Mytilus edulis: one gene and its partner. The protein of the gene in region 2 purifies or fractionates together with the protein of the main gene of each other region. This does not show direct contact. Links are inferred from orthologs where the notes say so. Each region holds a gene or a part of one and is shown on either strand. Other genes may lie near its edges.

Region 1 (12,493 bases), on a different chromosome or scaffold from region 2:
TGCAACATTTTTTTTTATTATTGTCAACAATGCATTTGAAAGCTACATGTACAAGAAGGGTTGATAGCACATACTTTTGATAATAACTTGGGTTTTTCTATTCATGAACTAGAACTTTGAAAGCTGAAATTGACAAATGGATTGGGTGTTTAGCTCTGATTTATTTAATCATTCTTGCTTTTGACTTGTATTGTGAGATCTATAAACTAGCAATTAAATGAATTAAAAAGAGGATTTATTAATTTATTATTTCAACTGTATTTGTTCAGGTTCCACAGAAGTCCCAGTAACTTTGAACACTTTTATATGAACTGCTGAATTATTTCTAATGAAAATTTCTGGTTCATGTTCATCTGTTTCAGGTTCTAAGTCATCCACAAGTTCCACTGTGGAGGTCTGTGTTTCTGTTTCCACATTTCCTATAGAAGATTTTTTCACTTCTAATGCAAGATTAACTGCCCGGTTTATAGCTGCACCTAAGCCATGAATATACACCTCATTTCCAGAATTCATTAGTTTATGACATCTCTCAAGCTGTTGTTTGAAATTAGTTCTTCTTGACACATAAACATCATTTTTTCTCTTTGGTAGTTTTCTTGGCAATCTTTTACGAAGAGAAAATTCCTCTTTATCTATTAAATCTTTTATTTCTGCAAATTTACTCCTAAAATAATAAAAATGTAAGAAACTTGATAAGAACATGCATCAAAAATTGTTTGCAATATAAAGACTACCGGTTTTTTTATGTGAAATAACTACTACACATCACACACTATATTTCTTAGAGTGTGACATTACGCCTTGTTAACCTTTTTGAAACCCCATATGAACCGCATACAATCGCTAATCCCAGCTGCTCTGGCCGCTTGAACTTTTGACGCATACAACAGTCACTTTTCCATTGTGGCATCAGATATTTTGTTTTATGACGTCAAAATTTTACAGGAACCTGTGTGATATCCAGTAATGGCAGACAAATAGCGATAAGGTGTATTTTATGTACTTGAGCACTTATTTCCTACATTTGTATCATAAAATTGTCCTGAAGACACCACTGTAAGTACTGAAACATGTACAATGTAGACCAGAATAAAGCATTGCATTGCAGTAATCTCGGATGTTGTTGTCTTTTTATAGTTTTATAATTATATGTCTGTTAATCATGTTAATACATTTTTGTTATTGATGAATAAATATAAAGTAATAAGTTAAATATTAAGGGGAGATAACTCAAATGAATAAATATTTTATCAAGGAATGTACAGTATATGTTTCCATTAGTAATAAAGAAAGACAAAATAGCAGTGACACTATGTTTACTAACATTTTACAAAAAAAAAGATTGGAATCTTTTGGACAGTTTACTTTTATCAAAAGAGAAAAAGAGAGTACACATTTTTACGAATCCGGGTCCGTTCGCGCCCATTCACGTTCGCACCCACTCATGTTCGCCCCCTTTCACTTTCGCACCCTACATGTTCGCGCCCAATTTTAATTGGTTTTGTGTTTAACAACTTTGTAATCAAGTTTTGGCAAGTGTATTCTCATAAGTATAATTGTTTTCATTGTCTCAAAATAAAGTGAGACAGCATTTTTTTTTGTATTGAATAAATCTTAATCATGTTTCGGAAAGTGTATTGTTAAAAAAAATAATAATACTTTCTAAATAAAGTCATGAGTGGGATTCTGTCAAAGTTTTATTTTGTGTTGAATAACTCTTAATCATGTTTTGGTTAGTGTATTCACCGTGTAGAACGCCACATGCGGGGTGTCGGCTATGTTTGACATGGGGTGGCAATTTTGAAGCGACGAAAAAGTAACAAGGTAAGTTCAAGCATCAAAATTTCTTATTTTTAGAACTCTCAGTATCATATAATATATTGCACGGAAGGAACAGCAACAAAATCTATTTCCTGAAAGCAGAAGCAGTCGTTTTCAGTGCTCAGTTTTCTCAAACACCTCGCCCTACTTTTCCGTGTTGCAGATTTTGAGGCTTTATATGCCAATTTCGGTATAAAAACTACTTTACACAGCTACCCTCCGTACCATGTATATAGAATTGTATTCCTCTCATTGACTTATACCAAATACCAGTTTCTTAGTTAAAATCAATTGGTTTTAAAACTGTTATTCATCAAAATATAAAGTGTCGCTCGGGGTGTCAGATTTTGCGTCGAAAGGGGTAGAGGCTTGTCATAAAAAATACATATTTGTATGTAAATTAGCCTTCATATGATACATTTTATTTCAAACACATCTACTTTACCATGACAAAATAGGATTTTTCATTTTGCCTGTTTTTCGTCTTATAAAAGATATGATTTGATTTCATTCACATCTACTTTACCATGACAAAATAAGGGTTTTTCATTTTGCCTGTTTTTGGTCTTATAAAACATGTGCTTTTGATTTCATTCATAGTAAAAAATGACTCAACATATTTAGTTTCCAAGCTGGTAAACGATTTCTTTTCCTTTTCAGTCACTATCATGGTAAAAAAAGGCAAGGCTATGGCTCAATAAACCAAAACATGGTGGAAAATCACAAAATAGTCCTTAATATAAGAAGCCTCCACCAGCAAAAATGCATCATAGTTCATCACCAGGTTCATCTAAAAAGCACTCATGCACGCCGCCAAAAACCATCACTCCTAAAAGAATTAGAACACTTTCTCCAATGAAACACTCACCGGCATCTTTTTCAGCGAATGACAACACAACTTCAAGTAATCCTGAAGACGATGATACTACAATTGTCAATGAGAAAACAACGACTTATACACAAATATACAACGGAACAGGTTTACAAGAAAATATGATTCAAGACAGTTATTTCGTTCATAATCGCCCAGCTAGAACTACATACCTTAAGTTTGTAATTTGTCATCATAACAGTGTAGGTGTGTTTGAATTAAAAAGTATCAGATAGAGATCGATTTATAAGAAAATGTATTCTTTTTTATGACAAGCCTCTACCCCTTGCGACACAAAATCTGACACCCCGAGCGACACTTTATATTTTGATGAATAACAGTTTTAAAACCAATTAATTTTAACCAAGAAACTGGTATTTGGTATAAATCAAAGAGACGAATACAATTCTATATAAATGATATGGAGGTTAGCTGTGTAAAGTAGTTTTTTATACCGAAATTGGCAAATAAAGCCTCAAATCTGCAACCCGGAAAACTAGGGCGAGGTGTTTGAGAAAACTAAGCACTGAAAACGACTGCTTCTGCTTTCAGGAAATAGATTATGTTGCGGTTCCTTCCGTGCAATACATTATATGGTACTGAGAGTTCTAAAAATAAGAAATTTTGATGCTTGAACTTACCTTGTTTAATTTGTTACTTTTTCGTCGCTTCAAAATTGCCACCCCATGTCAAACATAGCCGACACCCCGCATGTGGCAATCTACACGGTGGTATTGCTATAACTTTGTTTCACTGACTTGATTCAAAATAAAGTGAGATTCTGACTAGGTTTTTTTTTGTTTTTGTGTGTTGTATAAATTTTATCATGTTTTGGTTATAATTCGTGTATTGCTATATTTTATTGTTTCATTGTTTCAGATCAAAGGGACCAAGCTGTTAAAAACAATTATCTTTTGTGTTTTTCGTTTAAAATCTTCAATGTTTTACTGAGGGGGGATAGGAAGGGTCTTGATCCCGAAATCCCGGACTTGAAAAAACGAAATCCCGAGGTCCCGAACTTAAATAAAGCAAATCCTGAAATCCCGAAATCCGAAAAAAAGGATTCCCGGATCCCGAAATCCCGAGCTTAAAAACACCCGATTCAGAGTCCCGATAAAGGTCCTATCCCCCCTCTTTACTCATATCAAGCTATAAATACATTCAGTATTTACACCAAAGCAATTTAAAACAACAATCATGATTTTCCAATTATTCGACTGGAATTTTGTATTAAAATTGGGCGCGAACGTGTAGAGTGCGAACGGACATTGGGTGCGAACGTGCGAGGTGCGAACGTGTAGGGTGCGAAAGTGTATTGGGCGCGAACGGACCTGATACCCATTTTTACAATCAATGGATTACATACACCTTATCGCTATTTGTCTGCCATTGCTGGAAATCATACAGGTTCCCGTAAAATTTTGACGTCATAAAACAAAATGTCTGACGCCACAATGGAAAAGTGATTGTTGTTGACGTCAAAAGTTCAAGCGGACGGGTCAGCCGGGAATACACCTTATCGCTATTCCCGGCTGACCCGTCCGCTTGAACTTTTGACGTCAACAACAATCACTTTTCCATTGTGGCGTCAGACATTTTGTTTTATGACGTCAAAATTTTACGGGAACCTGTGTGATTTCCAGCAATGGCGGACAAATAGCGATAAGGTGTATAGCGATAAGGTGTATTGATGCTGGGAACAGTATATCTATATATATGTTCCTGATTGATGGAATACATCCTAACATTCTGCCTATTTCTGGCTGCATGATCACCTCAAAAAATGCAGTGCCTTATTAAACTTATCTGTTATTAACTAATGATTAATCGACTGTTTTGTTAACGACATAACAGTCTTACTTACTTTGGCTTTGCTTCTTCTTCAGAAATCATTTTTGTTTTTAAAGAACCGGATATACCAAAACAATTGTAAAAAATTAATTAAATCGGAAAAGAACCGTTGAAAAAACGGGTTAAATAGGATTGCATGAACATGGAATATGTATAAAGTTGTCACTGTATGTTGAGATAATGCATATTTCATCGTATAGATATTGATAACCAATTAATGTTATATGTATTTTTATTGAATGCGATTCGTGAACAATAAAAATACGGATATTCGGACTGTCCATACAACTATCGTTTATTATTTTACTAATGTAAACATCCGCTATAAACAATGAAATGCATCAACTGCGGAACAAAGTGTAATAGTCTTTATAGACATTACTCTAAAGATATAATACAACTGGAACACTGCGTAAGTAATATTTCATATTTAGAAAGACAATATATGACACATAGCATACCCCAAACATTGAATGCATCACATAATGAACTTCGTTTTGTTGCAACACAATTTCACATGTCTTCTTCTTTTTCAACTCTATACTAAAGTGTAATAAACTCGGGCGCATCTCAAAATGACAGGAGGACAGGCAAAACTTGATGGTATTTACAATGAAATATTAATCTTAATTACATCTATGTACACATGTTATCCTGCTGTCTACAATTAATGTATTTCAGATGTGGCTGGGTCCAGGGGGTGGTATTCACTCTGGACCCGAATTCCTCTAGTGATCCGGACTCCACTATATATTGGGGGAGTTAATTCCATTCTCTAGTTGTTCTTGGGAAGAATGAGTGGGAGTAGTTTGTCTACATTAGTGGTTGTCCCTTGTCCTACTATCCCTTGTTGTGCAGTATTTGGCTGGATCAATGGCAATCAACTGGTGTTGGTTCTTGTTATACAACACGAGGCTCTGTTTCCGTCGTCTGTGCAGCAGTGATTCCCATTGAAGTTGGTCCAGTAGCTTAGTAACATATTCAGGAGAGTTGTCCTGGTAGCAACTATAAACAAAGCGAGCTGCTGGTCTGTGTTCCCATTCTTCCAGCGAGATTTAAATAGGTCTTTTTGCAGCAAGTCTGCATCCTCTGTTTTCCTAATGCAGCGGAAGAGTAGATCTACAGTCATCAGCTTACAGTCGAGCACTTGATGTTGGTGCTTCTGGGAGGTCGTTGATATAGACCAGAAAGAGGAAGGGACCCATCTAAGTGTCCTGGGGTATTCCAGATATCACGTAAAGAGGGTCCGACTTGTGGTTTTCGAGAATGACAGACTGAGTTCTGTTGGACAGAAACTGTTTTATCCATTGAATCTGGAAACCTCTTACTCCGTAGTAATCCATTTTATGAAGTAGTCTGGCATGTGGCACCTTATCAAAGGCCTTAGCGAAGTTTATCAGGATGATGTCTGTCTGGTCGCCGTCCTCCATGTTCTTAGCTATTTCGTGTATAGTTATTACCAGCTGGAATTCGCATAATCGTTTGGTTCTAAACCCATGTTGTTCGTTGCAAAGTATGGTGTTTTGTTCATAGTGGTCCATGATAGAACTGTGGATTATGTGCTCTAGCACCTTACATGTGATGGATGTCAAGGACTCTGGACGGTAATTTGCTGCTGTGTTTTTTTTTACCTTTCTTAAAGACTGGGACTATGTTGGTTGACCTCCAATCTTCTGGTACTGATCCCTGGTCCATTGACAGTTGGTATAGTCTTGTCAGGTAAGATGATAGTTGATCAGGAGTATTCTTGAGAATGAAGGCTGGTATGTCAATCAGTCATCTGGGCCAATTACCTTAAACGGTCTTAGTCCTCTAAGTAGTCTAGTGACACCATTCCGACTGATTTTTATTGGTCTCGTGGTTGGATGTGGGCTTGGCCCTTTATCTGGCATGTTGTTTAGGTCTTCTTGGGTGTATATTGAATGGAATTGGTTGTTTAGTATAGCAGCTTTTGTTGGTGTGTCGCTATGTAGTATCCATCTTTATTTTTAGAATTGTTATACCTGAAGATTCCTGTTTCCTACTCTTTATGTATGACCAAAATCTTTTTGGGTTCTTGTTTAAATCTCCACAGACTATATTTTGCATGCATTTTGTATGTGCTCGTCTAGACGCTCGTTGAAGTTCAGCTCTGATGTTTTTATACCGTTTGACTTTCCAGTCCTTTGGTGAGTTGTTGTGTTTTGCCTTGGAGTTAGCTCTTGGTTTCTGTTTGCTCAATTGTCTCAGTTGGGTATTCACCCAAGGGTGGCTCTGTCTAGCAATTGATATTTGACATTTGCTGATATGTCCACTAATACTATGTCATGATAGCTATTTCCTATAGTATGGGTGGCAGTGTTTTAAATCTCTCTCTCAGGGGTGGCTTGTAAACATCTGGTCTAGTATTTTCTTTCCTCTTGTATTGTTGTTATTTATTTGCTGGATTGACAAATCAGCTGACATCTGTCACTTCGAAAAAAACGAAAGCCGTAAAGAAGTTTCCGCCATGTTGTTGAAGATTAATATGCACGAGCAAATGATGATCAATGATAGATGGACTATGCTAATCAAGTATATATAGAGAGTGCATTTTTAGATTGACAGATAATTGAACTACTTTACATTCCTGTCATCTCTAACAACTACCCAAAACTAATACAATAAGAGAGAGAACAAAAAAAAAAGCAAGAAGCAAAATAAGTGTATCAACGCTACAATCATTAAATGTTAAATTTCTAGATGAGTATTCGTCAAGCTCACACGACTTTTTGAACTATGACCGTGACCTCATACGTTCAAAACCAAACTGTAACACTAAGACCTTCTGGTCTTTTAGCAAGTAGCACAATCGCACATTGCAGGAGTCCAAGAAGGCCTCACATATGTACAAAGCGAACAAATCACAAACACAAACATCCTTCAAGTCTGTATTCCCAAGAGAAGGACAAGGGACCAAGCACATTTCCACATATGGCTCAATTACATTAGTGTACACGCTTCTCAAAAATCTTTATAAACCACACAAAGCTGAAGGACCCGACTAAGTACCAGCTATTTTTTTGAAGGAGCTGCCCAGTGTTTTATCTAATACACCAGACTTCAATCAACCTTTACACGGTTCTAGACATCTGGATAGTAAGACAAGTTAGACATGTCTTAAAAATGGAAACAAGAGCAAAGCTGCTATCAACATGCCGGTTTCATTGACTTTCATGTTCCAATATTGTTGTTGGGCATATTCTACATTCTACCATAAATAAACTCATCATAGAAACCAGAAATGAAATTTGTGTTTGCGCCAGATGATCGTTTCGTCTACAAATGCATCATCAGTGACAACACTTACAAAAAAATCCCTTATTGATGCTCAGAATAGATTCTTGAGTAGACGTTTTAGTGAAACATAGCTTATCGCAACCATCCAAGACTTTGCAAAAGACGTTCAATATATATAAGTTATCAAAGGTACCAGGAAAAGTCCAGGATTATAATTTAGTACGCCAGACGCGCGTTTCGTCTACATAAGACTCACCAGTGACGCTCATATCAAAACATTTATAAACCAAACAAGTACAAAGGTTGAAGAGCATTGAGGATCCAAAATTCCAAAAAGTTGTACCAAATACGGCTAAGGTAATCTATGCCTGGGATAAGAAAATCCTTAGTTTTTCGAAAAATTCAAAGTTTTGTTTCATAAAAATTACCACTTTATTGATATTCATGTCAACACCGAAGTGTTGACTACTGGGCTGGTGATACCCTCGGGGACGAAACGTCCACCAGCAGTGGCATCGACCCAGTGGTGTAAATAGGTATCAAAGGTACCAGGATTATAATTTAGTACGCCAGACGCGCGTTTCGTCTACATAAGACAGATGCCGTAATACTTGATTTTAGGAAAACCTCCGTCAAGTTACCACATCAAAGATTGTTCCTCTCAAGTTCCAAAACTGTAGAATCAGCTGTTCAGTCCTGAAATGATATGGTAACTTCATACGCAGAAGAAGGCGACATGTCCAAGTAGAGGGAGCATGTCAACGTCATATGACCCTATTATTTCTTACTTTTAAAAATGATTCTCAAATTTCTGACTTTTTAATTAATGAACTAACTGAAATTTGGGTTCTTTTTTTAAACAGTTTGATGATGACTGTTTGATCCCCAAGAACATAGAAACAAAGTTAATATCCGACACGAACATCCAACCAGAACCATGGGAAAAGTGGCGGTAATCTGGCAAATGATTTCTATCCACATAGCGATAAAGGGTATATGCGCGTAGTATAATCAATACCATATACATCCTTATGGCCACACAATAGAGACATGCAATGTTAGCAAATACTGTTGACAATCAGCCAAGATCTATCATGATACACTCGCATTGATTAGACAACAGCCAAGGCTTCAAGAACAGTTTGGTTCTTCAGACTATCAAAAGGACCTTTCAAGAGCGAGTAAATCCCTGGCAAATATCAATGAAGGGCGGACAGTGTTTTAGTATACATGTAAGCCTCAGTAGCAATTCTCAATTTATGAGAATTTTTAAAAACATAGTTCCTCAATGAAATAAACATAATAGTTATTGAAGAACTGCTTATTATCGTGAAACATAGACTACCCGTAGGTCAGTCCATGTATCACGATAATGACCAGTTTTTCAATGACTTATGTAAACAAATAACATTAAGTTAACGGTACCAATTTCACTGCACAAGCTGCGGATTTCGACAATAAACGACTCTTCAGTGATACTGTGGACAAAAAATCCGAACTGTTTGAAAAGTAGAAGAGCTTATCATACAAAAAGGACATAATAAAGTGTAGCCAAATTGTGGCAATGGACCAAGAGGTTTGCACGAGTGAGATCAAAAAAAGTAATTTACGCATTTCCAAGCCAAAATTACGTATTTTATGAAAATGAAAATGCAAATGGAATTATTTTATATATATACGCATTTTTAAATTTTAGATCCATTGTAAAGAACTTGTAGACAAATATATAGAGTTTGACCCAGTCATTATCTGTCTTGATGCTTTACTGTTGAAGAGAGAGGCATTTCAGCATGTTCTCAGCAATAACTCAACCCAGGTAAGTTACTAAACAACACCTAAAACTTCATTGTTGATTCTGATTAAAGCTGTTTAAGCTAAAACAGATCTTCCATATCATATATAAGAAGGACATATTTGAAGCAAATGACCAATAAAATCATCAGAGATACTAGGATTGGAATTTTATATTTGCACCAGACGCGCGTTAGACCATGTTATTTTTGTCTGCTTGTGTTTCTGATTTTGCTTACATCTCATTTTACTTCAAAGTTATACTTTAATTTAAATATATCATATCGACAAATATTTAAACAGATTATTCTGTATGTCTGGCACATCTTGGTGTCATAGTGGTAGTATGCTTGCTTCGAGTTCGGGTGATCATTTGTTTGGTCTCTGAACGAATCAGTGACTTGATAACTATTGAAACTACAAGGGTTGACTAGTTAATAAAGATAGGGTAACATGGAATCCTCGAATCCGAAAGTAAACCCCATGATCAAGAGGGGCGTTTGTTTAGCTTTTCGAGATGTATGATTATGAAGCCACCTCCCTTCTTAATGCTTCTTATTAGGAAAGTGTCGTGATTGTTGCATGTTAATTAATCCTTGCAACATCTCATGGAGGGGACGTATTGGGCCTTTAGCAAGTTAAAATGTCTGTCTTTCACCGCGGTCGAAACACTTGGCAGAGCTTAGCTATTTTTGTTGTTTTTAAATCATTGTTCAAATTTGTTGAAATTTTTATATTTTTGCAAAAGGGACAAAGTAAATACTTTGTCAAAATGTTAAGAAAATTAAACGAGCCAAATTAATTTTAGTTAAAGTGTTGGGTACCACCTTAAGGTCCAGTGTCATAATGTATTGCGTAATCAGGACGAAAACAAGTTAACAAAAATAAAATAGTTCACAAGGGAGATAGTAACGATATAATGATAATTAAAGATGACATTTTTAGTGACTGCTTGTAATCCTTTGTTCATTTTTGTTGAGCCATGTCTTTTTGACAAGGTTATAACACAATTTTGACTGCTATATGTATACCACAATTTTTTATGTTAAAATTAAAATGTCTCTTTGTTTTGTTCACACGTCGTTGTCAATAAAATGGTGAGGGGTTTAGCTAGCTATTAAATAAGGTTTCATCTATCATTTTCGACATAAGAAAATGCTTGGTTTTTTTTCAGAGTTCGGTATTTTTGTTATTTTATCTTTTGCTTAGTTTCTTCTTTAACCATTTTAACATCGGATTCGAATTTCATCCAAACTGTGTGTTTGTTAATTCCATAATGGCTAAAGGATATAAGAGGGAACGAAATCTCACACAAATGTTCAACTCTTCTACATGTTTTCGCATTTTGCATTTTTCTTGCTGTGCTGAATACCCATTGGTGGCCTTTTGGGTCAGGTTGTGGTCTTTTTGTCAAATTCCCTTATTCCCTTCTCTCTAATGATAGGTGGGTTTAAGACTGACTAGGATGCAGGGCTAAAAATTGCACATAAATAGAAAAAAAGTTGGTAGTGGCCAAAAAATGGTTCCTTATAAGTGAACTTTCTTAGCTTAAAGAAACCTGACAAAAACTCTTGAAAAATGAGGCAGAGTTGAACATGGCACTTTTCCTACGCGAAGCGTCTAATTTAGCCTTCTTTCTGAACGTTCGTGATGAAATGATTGGTTTCGGTAAACACGAAGAAACGAGGAAGTAGCTATCGGATCGTGAGGTGTGGGTGGTATCTTTATTTCAATACAAGTTAGCCGAGATAGATAAGTTAATATAGGTAAATAAAAGGAGAGAGATTGTTGATGTATTTTATGACACAGCAAATAAAGTTATTCAAAATTTGGAAATCAACATGCGGTCTTTAAGAATATATAGCTGACTAACCCGTATTCCGATCGCAATCAACATCGTCCAGCATGTGTGTGTTTTCAATAGACTTACAGGGGGACAATAACGTAGTGTCATTTGCGAATTATTTGGTTTCATTTTAATATGCAGTGTTGATAGTCAAATGTAATATTAAGGTCTTTCCAACATCTTTTTTTTCCTCGATGAAGTCGCGAATTAAGGCGTGCTGTTTCTGACAGGCGTCAACAATTCGTTAAAGTTTGTAATTAGTTCAGTTTTTTGGACAACTAATGACAAGCCAATAATAATTGTTTGTAGTTGAAGTACTAAAATGACGTATCCTTTTTCCATTAAGATTGTTGGGCTGCTTCCTCACTCATGGCCTATTGAATTTAAAACTTTATGATTGGTTCAGTTTAAAGGAAATAACTTATGAAACATTATCTGATTTTTATTGAGATTGTTTACACGTCCCTCAGTCATGGTTCATTGTGTTTTGATGCTCTTTTCATATTTTATCTGTGATAAGGTTAGTTTAGGGTGAACCACTGATTATAAGTCAATAATATTAGATATGCAGTTGTATTTAGCGTTGGAATATCTCATTTCTACGGGGAATATTACTCCCTGAACTTAGACCATGCTTCATGGACTTGGGGTGTGTTGTATTGTTAACAGGTATATACGATGTCATCTATCAACATTTCTATACTAGTATTATACTGTCAAAATGATAAACAGCAAGGCCGTAGCGCATGTCTTTTTAAAGTGAGGCATTTCGCCGAGCGGAGCGAGGCGAAAAATTTTTGGGCCCTTTTTTTTAGGGGGGTTCGGATGCATGAAACGGAAGAAGCTTATTTCAGCATTAATATCTATAATAAAAAAAAAATATAACAGAAATGCGTTTTTTTTATTAGCTAGCCTAGTAAGTAAGAAAACGAGTTTCAATATTAAAGTTAATCTCTGTTGGTAAACCAAAACTTTCCGATTCTCCTGTAACCCGTACTATTAAAAAGCTTCAACACACGTTCTGATGTATATATATATATATATTTATCTCCAAC
Region 2 (11,801 bases):
AAATTGTGTTTTGGTGATATTGATGTGTATGTTGATCTTTCTTTACTTAACATTCTTGCTGCTTACAATTATCTCCATCTATAATGAACTTGGCCCAGTTAGTTTCAGTGGAAAATGTTAGTGAAAATTTACAAATTTTATGAAAATTGTTTAAAATTGACTATAAAGGGCAATAACTCCTTAGGGGGTCAATTGACCATTTTGGTCATGTTGACTTACTTTGAGGTCTTATTATGCTGTACATTATTGCTGTTACAGTTTATCTCTATCTATAATATTCAAGATAATAACAAAAATTCTAATGCAATTAATTTGTAACAATTGTTCTGATTGGATGACAGCAAGCGTAAAATTCTCTATCTCCCTGTCTGTAACTAAGGAAGCCGACATTTTAAATTTCGGAATGTATCGGCATGTTATTTCTACTATAATAAACAAATCAAAGCGCTGTAAGCGCTGAAGGCAGTTAACCAAAAACCAAGGCAACCGTAATTATGAAAACTGTGGCAATGTTGCCTCAACATTAAACATTCATATATAGTACATTCATGTTTATCTAATGATTTATTTAGTAAGGCAAATAATTTACATGTTATCAAGGTTTCAAAAGCAATGCATATATCAATGTATATTTTTTATGGTGAGTCTGCAGTGGTACAAGTTCCCAATGATTGCAGTTGTTCTACTTGGTAGTTAACCTTGGTTTTATTTGACTGCTAGAAGTTCAATTTGACTTAGTATGAACATGTAATAGTATGAATGGACTGGTTTCCCTGGAAAGAAAACTGAGTTTGTGTTCTATAGTACAAAAGTTATGAGACACGAATCAGACAAATGTTCACTACAACAGGGATCAAAGGTGAGGTCTGACTGACCTGCCCATAGTAAATGTAAATGATTTGTTATTTTGTCCCATACATATGAATATATATAATTTAGGGGTGGGGATCTCAACGGTTTTCAAGTTCTCAAAGTAGGCAGAGGATTTAGGGGGGGCAGGGGGGCAGCCCCACCCCCCTTTTTTGGGAAAAAAATTGGTTGCTTATATAGGGAACCACTGGAACGGGCCCCACTTAGGTCGGTCAGTGGGCCCCACTTATGAAAATTTCTGGATCCGCCACTGGGGGTAGGGTGACCCTAGAGACTTCCCCTACATTTCATTTTATTTGTTATATTGTCCCATACATGAATATATACACTGTATGGTTTAGGGGTTGGGATCTCATTGGTTTCCAAGTTCTCAAACAGGAGGGGTAGGGTGACCCCAGGGACTCCCCCTATATTTCATTTAATTAGTTATATTGGCCCATACATGAATATATATTGTTTTGGTGTGGGGATCTCGACCGTTTCCAAGTTCTCAAACAGGAGGGTTGGGGTGACCACAGGGACTTCCCCTATAGTTCATTCGATTTTTTATATTGTCCCATACATGAGTATATATGGTTTAGGGGTAAGGATCTTGACCATTTCCAAGTTCTCAAACAGGAGGGTGAACAGTGACCTCAGGTACTCCCCCTATCTTTCATTTGAATTGTTATATTGTCCCGTACATGAATATATATGGTTAAGGGGTGGCGATCTCAACGGGTTTCAAATTCTCAAACAGGAGGGGGTGGGGTGACCCAAGGGACTCCCCCTATATTTCATCTGATTTGTTATATTGTCCCATACATGAATATATATGGTTTAGGAGTGGGGATCTCGACCATTTTTAAATTCTAAAAAACAGGAGGGGTGGGGTGACCCCCAGCGACTCTTCCTATATTTCATTTGATTTTTCATATTGTCACAAACATGAATATATATGGTTAAGGAGTGTGGATCTCGACCGTTTCCAAGTTCTCAAACAGGAGGGGGTGAGGTAACTCCAGGGACTTCCCCTATATTTCATTTTTTATTTATTATATTGTCCTATACTTGAATATATGCAGGGGTTGATTCAGACGGGGGGAGGGTTGTGGGCTTGCCCACCCCTTAAATTTGCAAAGCATGGGTTGTTCTTAGCTTAATAGTTCTTACCTCAAATTTTTTTAGCCTCGCTCTGCTCGGCAAACATTTAAGTTTGCGCCTCTCCTAACCTAAAATCCTGGATCTGCCCCTCATATGGTTTAGGGGTGGGGAGCTCGACCGTTTCCAAGTTATCAAACAGGAGGGGGTAGAGTGGCTCAAAGAATGCCACCTATATATCATATGATTTACTTACATTAAGGTATATATAATATAGTTGCATTATTTGTGAAAATAAAGAAAGAAACTTTCAGCTACTTTAATTGACCCTTCAAAATTGAGAAAAACAAATAACCCTTCGAAATTGCAGTAATATGTTAACACTTTAAAAGCATCTCACATGCATTATCATTTATCATTTATAAAGAAAATTTAGACTGTGACCATGAACATGTATATTGTTAGATATACTGTTCCCAGCTGTCACTTTGTATTGGATTTTTAAATTAAAAATTTGTCAAAAAGTAATTTTGAGTTTCTGAATAAAATATTTTTCTGATTTTTCTTTCTTTTACATATATCTTTTGGTTTACAATTCTAGTGTTTATATTCATTAATTTACCATGCATAGATGTGTTGTTTCACCTGCTTGGATTTATTTTGTAAATGATCGCCAAACCCGGAATTACCCTTATCCGCTTCCGGAATCGGATCCGATATTAAAATTTGGTCTTCACGGCCGCCATTGGTATGTGTTTACAATGTTGTTTGTGTCAATCAGATAGGATTTTACTCGAATTTATACAATATTTGTCGGAGATTTTCTGCATAAAGCTAGCGGTTGAACAAAATGAACATCGCTGTCATGACTAATAATGATAAAAATAAGTTTTTAGCTCGTTTAATTGGAGACTTTGGTGAACATGGTGAAAAGGTTTGCAAAGTAATTTCTTGTTTTCTTTCAAGTGGAAGGTGACTACGTCGGGCGTAGCTAGAAACCAACTATCCTATTCGAAATTCCGCTTGCAAAAGTGGAAGGTCGCGGACCTCGGACCACCGATAATTTGCACACTAGTCTTGCCTCCAAATTGAAAAGCTACGAAAAATTTCTTTTTCTAATTTGAAATTGCCGCCAACAGCATGAACAGTTGAACTTATTATATAATAGACTACTGACGTAGTTGTACTACGTATTGATGACAAACAATATTCCTACGACTTTTGTCATTTGGAAAATCTAAACTACTTGTCTTAAGAGATTTTCGGCGATTAAATATTTCATACAATTGTTCTTTGACATCTTAGCTAAAAGCACAAGTCATAATGAACTACACAAGGATTCTTAATAAGCACTACTTCCTATGTGTAACTTTAAAACTTTTGGATAAATCGACGATCATTCAAGGTTTTTCTTGTCATATTTTTTGTAATCCAGAATAAAAAGTATTAAAAATGTGTTCAATTAGTTATATATAACATAGTAGCGAGCTAGATAATAACAATGGCAAGTATTTCAGCATTTATTGGGTAGAACACAAATCTAGGGTGCTCGCATAATGCAGCTTAACTGCATAAAAACTCACTTATTGCGCCTAAACATCTTCTTTTTAACAAATTTTATTACATTCTGAAGCGGCACAAAAGCCAGAAAAAGCCTGGTGTTTATGTTTGACGCCGGAAGCATACCTATGACGTCCCCTAGTGTAGGGACCAAAAAAGATAACATTTTTTCACGGAATTTTCTTTTATGAAGATTTTACACTGAAATAATGATTGAAATTTAATTATAAACTTGTTTTGCATTAGAATAGAGATAACTGTATTGTATTTGAAGCTTTTCGGGCGTCCATTGGTAGTTTTACTGTCGCAAATACGAGTTTACCTGTCTCCGCTCAGCGTCGCCAGGTAAACTAAATTTGCGACAATAAAACTACCGATGGACGTCCTTAAAGCTTCAAATACAATACAATTATCTCTTAAACAGCAAAAATTCATAAAAATAAACAATTCAGGGGCAACAACCTATAAACAACGCATTGTCAGATTCATCTGAAAATTTCAGGGCAGATAGATCTTGACCTGATAAACAATTTAGATTTGCTCTAAATGCTTTGTTTTTTGAGTTATAAGCCAAAAACTGCATTTTACCCCTATATTCTAATTCAACTGGAATTTGAATTAAAATTGGGCGCGAACATGTAGAGAGCGAACGTGCACCCCGCGAGGTGCGAACATGAAGGGTGCGAAAGTGTATTCTTCTTCTTCTTCTTTATAATTCAGCACTCCATCAACATACTGATGATAACGTGCCGGGCACTGATTTTACTATGCCACGCGTGCGTGGATATAAATTTTATTTACAGTGAAAAAATACAAAAATAAAAATAAAAATTTCAACATTTATAACTTCTTTTTCTTCTGTTTTTGTACTATACATTTTGGTTAAAACTATATACATTGTGGAATTTATTTAAATGTTTATTGAGAACAGATATTGGAATCTGTTCTTGGAAGCTTTCAAGAGTAGTACATTGAACTGCAGCTACTGGGAGAAGGTTCCATTGCAAGATTGTTCTAGGGTAGAATGAGTACTTGTATGAGTCTTTAGTGGTTTGTATGGGTCTGAAAGAGTAAATATGTGAATGTTGTCGTGTTCTTGTATCAGATTGTGTAAGTAGGTCTGTCGGATATATGGCAACAAGATGATGTATAATTTTGTAGAGGAAAATGATGCGGTTTGTAGCATTTCAGTGACTGAGCTGGTGTTATGGTATCTGTTGCAGGTGTACCTTGCTGCTCTGCGCTGGACCATCTCAAGTTGGTGTGTTTGAGATTTGGTGTGCGAGTCCCAGACGCAGCTGCTGTATTCTAGCTTTGGTCTTACTAGTGCAATGTATGCTTTTTCTTTGACTGTTTTTGAGTTGACTTTTAGATTTCTTTTAATAAAGTTCAGCTTTTGTGTGGCTGCAGCTGTGATATTGTTTACATGTTTGTTCCATTTGAGATCAGTTTGTATAGTTATTCCAAGATATTTTGTGGATGTTTCTTTTTGAAGTACATGTTGGTGGAGAGTATAGTCAAAATTTAATGGGGTTTTCTTAGTTGTTATCTGAAGGACTGAGCACTTGTCTGGATGGAATGACATGAGCCAGTCCTTCTCCCATTTTGCAGCTGATGTGAGATCTTCTTGCAGTTTTTGTGTGTCTTCTTTCTTTCGTATTGTTTTATAAATTATGCTATCATCTGCAAATAATCTGAGGGTACTGTGTTTGATGTATTCGTTAAAGTCATTTATGTATACAAGGAAAAGGATCGGACCCAAAACTGTTCCTTGGGGAACACCAGATGTTACGTTTATTTTGTCTTCACTGAACACCATCAATGATCACTGTTTGTGTCCGAGATGTGAGAAAATCTTCTATCCATTTTAAGGTGTTGTCATCAATGCCATAATGTTTTAGTTTGTAGAGAAGTCTTTTGTGAGGAATTGTATTGTATTGGGCGCGAACGGACCTAATACCAGTAACTATCTACTATATTTGAGGTATTTTTCCTTAAAATACATAAAACAAACATGTTAAATCATACCATGGTCCTGTAAAGAGTATTGTTTTCTGCTTGACAAATCTAATTCACTATATTTGACCAACTTTAATCCGCTTACATCTTTTTGTACATGTTTCTAATGGGCGCAGACATTTTATTGTACACGACAGACGATTCACTTCCGGAATAAATGATATATTATTTCACCACCAAAGATATAATGTCATCGTTTAAAACATATGCTATGACCAGAAAATGAAAACCATTATTATAAAAAAAATCTTAGTTTACAAAACCAAATGTAAACATGTGGCATGAACTTAAATAAATAACAGATCAATGCTCAGGATCGCGCTTCATAAGAACCGTTTTATTCCTGGATTACCTCCCATATGACAAGGACAAACAATTAAACTGAGCTGACCAAACACATTGAAATATGGCAGGAATTGTAAGAAAGATAATAAAGACAGTAAAGGCTCCAGCTGCTATTGGACCATACAGGTGATTCTCTTTGCTGAATATTTGAAAAACCTCAATGTGCACCTTTGGTCACCTGAGGCTGAGCAATTTTACTTATTAACCTTTATACTTTTATTAAATATTATAATTTGCTGTTTTCACAAGTTACTCTGATAACATTGTTGGTCTGAGTATCCTTGTTATTAAGTTACTGAATTCCAGGTGGAAGTTTAACTTAAAAGTAAACACATTCTTGTTAATAGATATATCATATAGGAAGATGTGGTGTGAGTGCCAATGAGACAACTCTCCATCCACATAACAATTTAAAAAGTAAACCATTATAGGTTAAAGTACGGCCTTCAACACGGAGCCTTGGCTCACACCGAACAACAAGCTATAAAGGGCCCCAAAATGGATGAAATTTGAAAAAAATAGGCAGGTCAGGAGTTTTGAGTAAAGAAAATGGCAGGATGAGACACTTGCAAAAGAAAAAAAGTCAGGACAACAATTTAGGTAAAAAAAAAGGCAGGTTCGAACAGAGTGAAAAATAAAAAGGCAGGACAGAGATTAAAGCTAAAAAAAATGCAGGACATAATTTTTCATCCTAGCCAACCCCCCACCCCCACCATAAAAATAAAATGGTAGCTCCCTAAAAGCCAATGATTGAATACAAACCCTTTAGTCCTGTAATCTTTTTTTTAATTTTTTTTTTTCTACATTATTTGGTCTGTAATCATGGTAATCAATGATTCATAGGAGTCCATTTCATCTAGTGATGCTGTAAAGTAAGTGGTCTCAGAGTCTTTAAAAAGTGACCGAGTCGTGGTATAATATCAACTGATCAAATTAAGATTTAACCTCAAACTAATTTGCAACAGAAAATGTTTTAGTTCTAATCTATAGCATTATGCCCTTAATATACACAGAAAAAAAGTCCCATTAAATCTAACTTGAGGGGGGAAAAAAATAAGCATTTTTAATTTTCTATGGAAATTAACATTGGAAGGGGAGATAACTCAACAAACATGAGTCTTTTTTGGTCAGTTTTTGGTTGCTTTTCCTGAAATTTATGTAAAGTATGATACATTGATGGGGTTATAAGTTTGTATTTGACTAAATCATATAATCCTCTGCTCATGAGATGTACAAAAGCGAAGTGTTATGGGTAGTTCAATTTTTTTTGAGCATTTTTCATTAAAGAAATCGCAAATTTGAAGCTTTGTGACCATTTTAAAAATATAATGTGAAAATTTGGTATTGTTTATATCTATATATTATATTTTTTCAGTATTTTACTTTTCTAAAGAGACTTTAAACCACAAAAAGAAGAATACATGCTTAATTATTTTTATTAAAATTGAGATTCTTTATCTTGACAGGTTGAAAAATTTAATTAATAGTCCATAATATGAACTACGAAATCTAGATTATAGCTTGATAAAAGATATTAAAACCTCTTTGGAGTTGTTTTTTATACTCTAAAGACCGCTAAAAAATCAAGAATCAATGCATTCTGATGAATAGAAGCGGTAAAGTTATAATTTTGTATCAATTTTTATTGATATTGGATTATTTCTGCCTGTTTTGCAATAGTTACATGTATCTCCCTTTTCAATGCAAATCTCCAAATGACAAATTTTAAATGGTGATTTTTTTAGTCCTCCTCAAGTAAGATTAAATGGGACTTATTTCAGTGTATTTTTGTGGTATAATGCTAAAGATTAAACTTAAAAATCATCTGTTGCAATTACTTTCAGGTCAGGGTCAAATTTATGCTATCTAGATTGACTGGACTATATATGACATGAAAATGTTTGACAATTTGCCTATTTTATTTTGTGTTAAAAGAGATTTATGTATTAAGTTTTTAATTTGCATTATCTCCCTTATTCATTATGTTATTAGATAAACTAGAAATTAGAATTACTAAATATAAAGGATTAAGTTCAAGAATCAGGGTTAAATGTGTTCGAATTAGCCTTAAGTTTGTGATGTTTTTTTAAGCCAGCCAAAATACTACAAATTTCACATAGATGTAGTTGTGATATTACTATTTACATGAAATACTTTCATCATAATCAGTATACATTTATTGTGTTGCAATGTTAGATTTGGTCAAATCTTAGATAAATCTTAATATTTTTTTGCATTTATACACTTTGGGCACCACCCATGATCCAGAACTTTTCTATGTCTAGGTAACCAATCTCATCATTAGCAAATTTTGGTTACAGAATATTATAGATTCTAGGTTGTGGCCATAGGTTTCCTCAAGCTTTTTAAGTCTGAAAAAATGCACAAAACCATAGCTTTTTGACATTATATCTAAAAGGTGATGATTTTGAAGCCAAGAATATACTCTTATGAAGAGATTTGTTCTAACATGGAAGTCAAGGAAGCCAGGCTTTTTTTAAAGATAGATCCATTTAAGAACCAAATTATGGCCACTTTAAAAAAATACTTTCAAGTTGAAAATCATGGCCATTATTGACCGAAAGTGAACCTTCTTGTCCTTTTATCTATATGAAAACCATACTTAATGATAACTTTGATGTATTGGTTCGATCAAGAGCTGCAAATATATGATAAAAGGGAATTACAATGAGTCCTATTAGGTTTCTTTGATCCACAATAATCGTTCTTAGACGGCTAGGTTATAGCGATAATAAGATATACATTTGTACATGACATAATATGGAATCAAACTAACCTAGAACAATGTGATTGGACATGATTGCTATCTTTTTATATATATCACCAGTGGTGGATCCAGAAATTTTCATAAGTGGGGGCCCACTGACTGACCTAAGAGGGGGCCCACTCCAGTCACGCTTCAGTGATTCCTATATAAGCAACCAAATTTTTTCCCAAAAAGGGGGGGCCCTAAACCCGCCTCTGATCACGTTAATAATATATTGTCGACCATATGCAGTCTTCTTAGAACATATCAATTGTTCAGTAGATGGAGTGTAGACAAAAATGCACAAGAAATACTGATACATATATTATTGAGCCCATGCATTGTAAATTGATTATTATAGACTTTTTTTAAATTGGATATAAGTTTTTATTTGTTAAAAATCAAATGGCAGAATTTGAGTCATATCAGTGAACAGGAATCTGATAGCCCCTTTATAGGTGCTTAATCAAAATTCTCAAGACTTAAATTATATAAGAGTTTAAAAGAGGATAGAAAGATACCAGAGGGACAGTCAACCTCATAGATTGAAAATAAAATGACAACGCCATGGCTAAAAATAAAATGACAATGCCATGGCTAAAAATAAAAGGACAAACAGACAAATAATAGTACAGAAGACACAACAAAGCAAACTGAAGACTAAGCAACACGAACCCCACCAAAAACTGGGGTCATCTCAGGTACTCCAGTAGGGTAAGCAGATCCTGCTCCACATGTGGCACCCATAGTGTTGCTTATGTTATTACAAATCTGTTAAATAGTCTAAATCGGTAAGAAGTCACATTCATGAAAAGGGAGGGGTATTGTCATTACAACATAAGGAACATATTCGATATCATCTGTGAAAAGGTTATTCCATAATGGTCAACCAACTCTTGATGGCATCTGTAAAATTTACGAAGGGATGATTTCAACTTCACCATTTGGAACACTTGGTTTAACTAATAGCTTCCTTGTGAGCAGCAATCCTCTTTCAAGGAAATCATGATAGGAAATACAAGCCACTAAACAGAGTATATATCTCTCAATTGATAAGATATTCCCTGGGCCAGGGAATATCATATCAATTTGGAGATATATACTCTGTATGCAGGCGCTGCTGGAATGTTAATACATAGGAATGGAATGTTCACAATTGGGAAGTTGGGAAGCTGAAATGATCTCTTTTTTCATGAGAAATTAGTTTATACACAGAGGCATGAAACACAAATATATAATTTTGGGCTTGTTCTCATTTTGAAAAGGGAATGGATTCATTCCTTTATTCAAAGAAAAAAAACTCTTTTTACTTTCTGTTCTTTGTAGTGAAATTCTTACAATTAATTTGTATAAAAAAAATATATTTTAATTAGAACTTTCTCAGTGCATAATACTGTTCTGATGCATACTATTTTATTTTGAAATATCTTTTATTGTTTAAAGTCAGGCTGTGCTGGTTGAAAATACTATGTACCTCTCTGGGCAAATAGGAATGGATCCTTCTACTGGTAACCTTGTATCCGGTGGTGTTGTGCCAGAGACAGAACAGGTATGTATATGATCCCTTCTACTGGTAACCTTGTATCTGGTGGTGTTGTGTCTGAGACAGAACAGGTATGTACATGTATAAACATGGTCCCTTTTACTGGTAACCTTGTATCTGATGGTGTTGTGCCAGAGACAGAACAGGTATGTACATGTATGAACATGATCATTTCTACTGATAACCTTGTATCTTGTGGTGTTGTGCCAGAGACAGAACAGGTATGTGTAAAGCAAGAACATGGTCCCTTCTACTGGTAACCTTGTATCTGGTGGTGTTGTACCAGAGACAGAACAGGTATGTGTAAAGCAAGAACATGGTCCCTTCTACCAAGGATTTGTATAGTATACAAATCCTTGCTTCTACTGGTAACCTTGTATCAGTGTTGTTGTACCAGAGACAGAACAGGCGGACATAAGGTTACCAGTAGAAGGATCCATGTACATACCTGTTCTGTCTCTGGTACAACACCACCAGACACAAGGTTACCAGTAGAAGGAACCATGTTCTTGCTTTACACATACTAGCCATTGCTAGCTGTTCTGTCTCTGGTACAACACCACCAGATACAAGGTTACCAGTAGAAGGGACCATGTCCTTGTGTCCGTCAGATTTGTGCCAGAGACAGAGCAGGTATGTGTAAAGCAAAACTGTATCCTGGTTAAATTTGATCCGGTGGAAAAAATGTCATAGTAATTGTTGTCATTATTTTATCTGGAGGAAAATTTTTTGCTATTATATTTTTTTCCTTTGCCGTGAAATTCTATCTGGGTTGTTAAACTATTGAGTAGTTATTAAAAAAAACTTAATCTTTACAAATACTTTGAAATAATAATAGTGTATTTGAAGTTATGCTTTTAAGTTGGTAAAAAAATGTATTATAATGGGAAATAATTTCACAGATTATAATTGAAAATAATATCCTGAAATATTAAAGTAAATATCATTCTTTTAAAAAGATTTAAAAATTAACATGAAACATATGAAAGAAAACCAGAAGTAATTTAAAAGATCTTAATTGTGAAATAATATCATGATTTATTTAATATATATAAAATAAGGTTAGTGAAATAAGGGTAAAAGTGAGTTGTTTATAGATCATAATTTCACTATGAAAAAGATTCAGGAATTATATAATATTTTAATATCTTTAAAATATAAATTGCTCATAATTACCTCCCTTTCATTGATAAGTAATGGCAAATTTGTTATACCTTTTTGAAACATTTATGATTATGGTCAGGTATATATTGATTGCGAGTAACTTACGTAGTTAATGGAACTCTATTTCACAAGGTTCTGTGAAATATGGAGCGTAAAATATAGACTGGTACTGGACTATTGGTACATATTATCCTCATATGACTGGTAACTTCAGTGTCTGGTTTGAATTTTAAAGGGAACAGTCCTATGAACAAGACAGTTTCAAATTAGTTTAAACGGTTTTATGTAGACATACTGTCAAGCATAGTATGTTTTATTTCATGAAGGTTTTTTCTCGCCTTGCAAAACATAGGGATAACATTCAGTGGTGACAACAGTGTACTGTAACTTACTTGTCTATTTAAAGCTTTATTTTTCAGGAGGTAGAAGACCTGGATGCTTCATACCTGGTAT

The links.
Region 1: the proteins of ribonucleases P/MRP protein subunit POP1-like (region 2) and ribonuclease P protein subunit p20-like purify together in Homo sapiens (affinity purification with mass spectrometry; 3 studies listed by BioGRID and IntAct, with this or other methods). This does not show direct contact. The link is inferred for Mytilus edulis from reciprocal best matches to the Homo sapiens genes POP1 and POP7.

The regions. Positions count from the first base shown.
Region 1 is NC_092346.1:9,583,387-9,595,879, forward strand, and holds ribonuclease P protein subunit p20-like, read right to left. Parts: upstream 4,662-12,493; 5' UTR 4,586-4,661; coding exon 4,557-4,585; intron 665-4,556; coding exon 247-664; 3' UTR 230-246; downstream 1-229. Other genes in the region: protein ARV1-like, read left to right, coding at 4,875-4,955, 9,498-9,617. UniProt on the Homo sapiens protein: Component of ribonuclease P, a ribonucleoprotein complex that generates mature tRNA molecules by cleaving their 5'-ends. Also a component of the MRP ribonuclease complex, which cleaves pre-rRNA sequences.
Region 2 is NC_092344.1:124,480,332-124,492,132, forward strand, and holds the start of ribonucleases P/MRP protein subunit POP1-like, read right to left. Parts: upstream 5,685-11,801; 5' UTR 5,542-5,684; coding exon 5,539-5,541; intron 1-5,538. Other genes in the region: 2-iminobutanoate/2-iminopropanoate deaminase-like, read left to right, coding at 5,936-6,000, 10,085-10,190. UniProt on the Homo sapiens protein: Component of ribonuclease P, a ribonucleoprotein complex that generates mature tRNA molecules by cleaving their 5'-ends. Also a component of the MRP ribonuclease complex, which cleaves pre-rRNA sequences.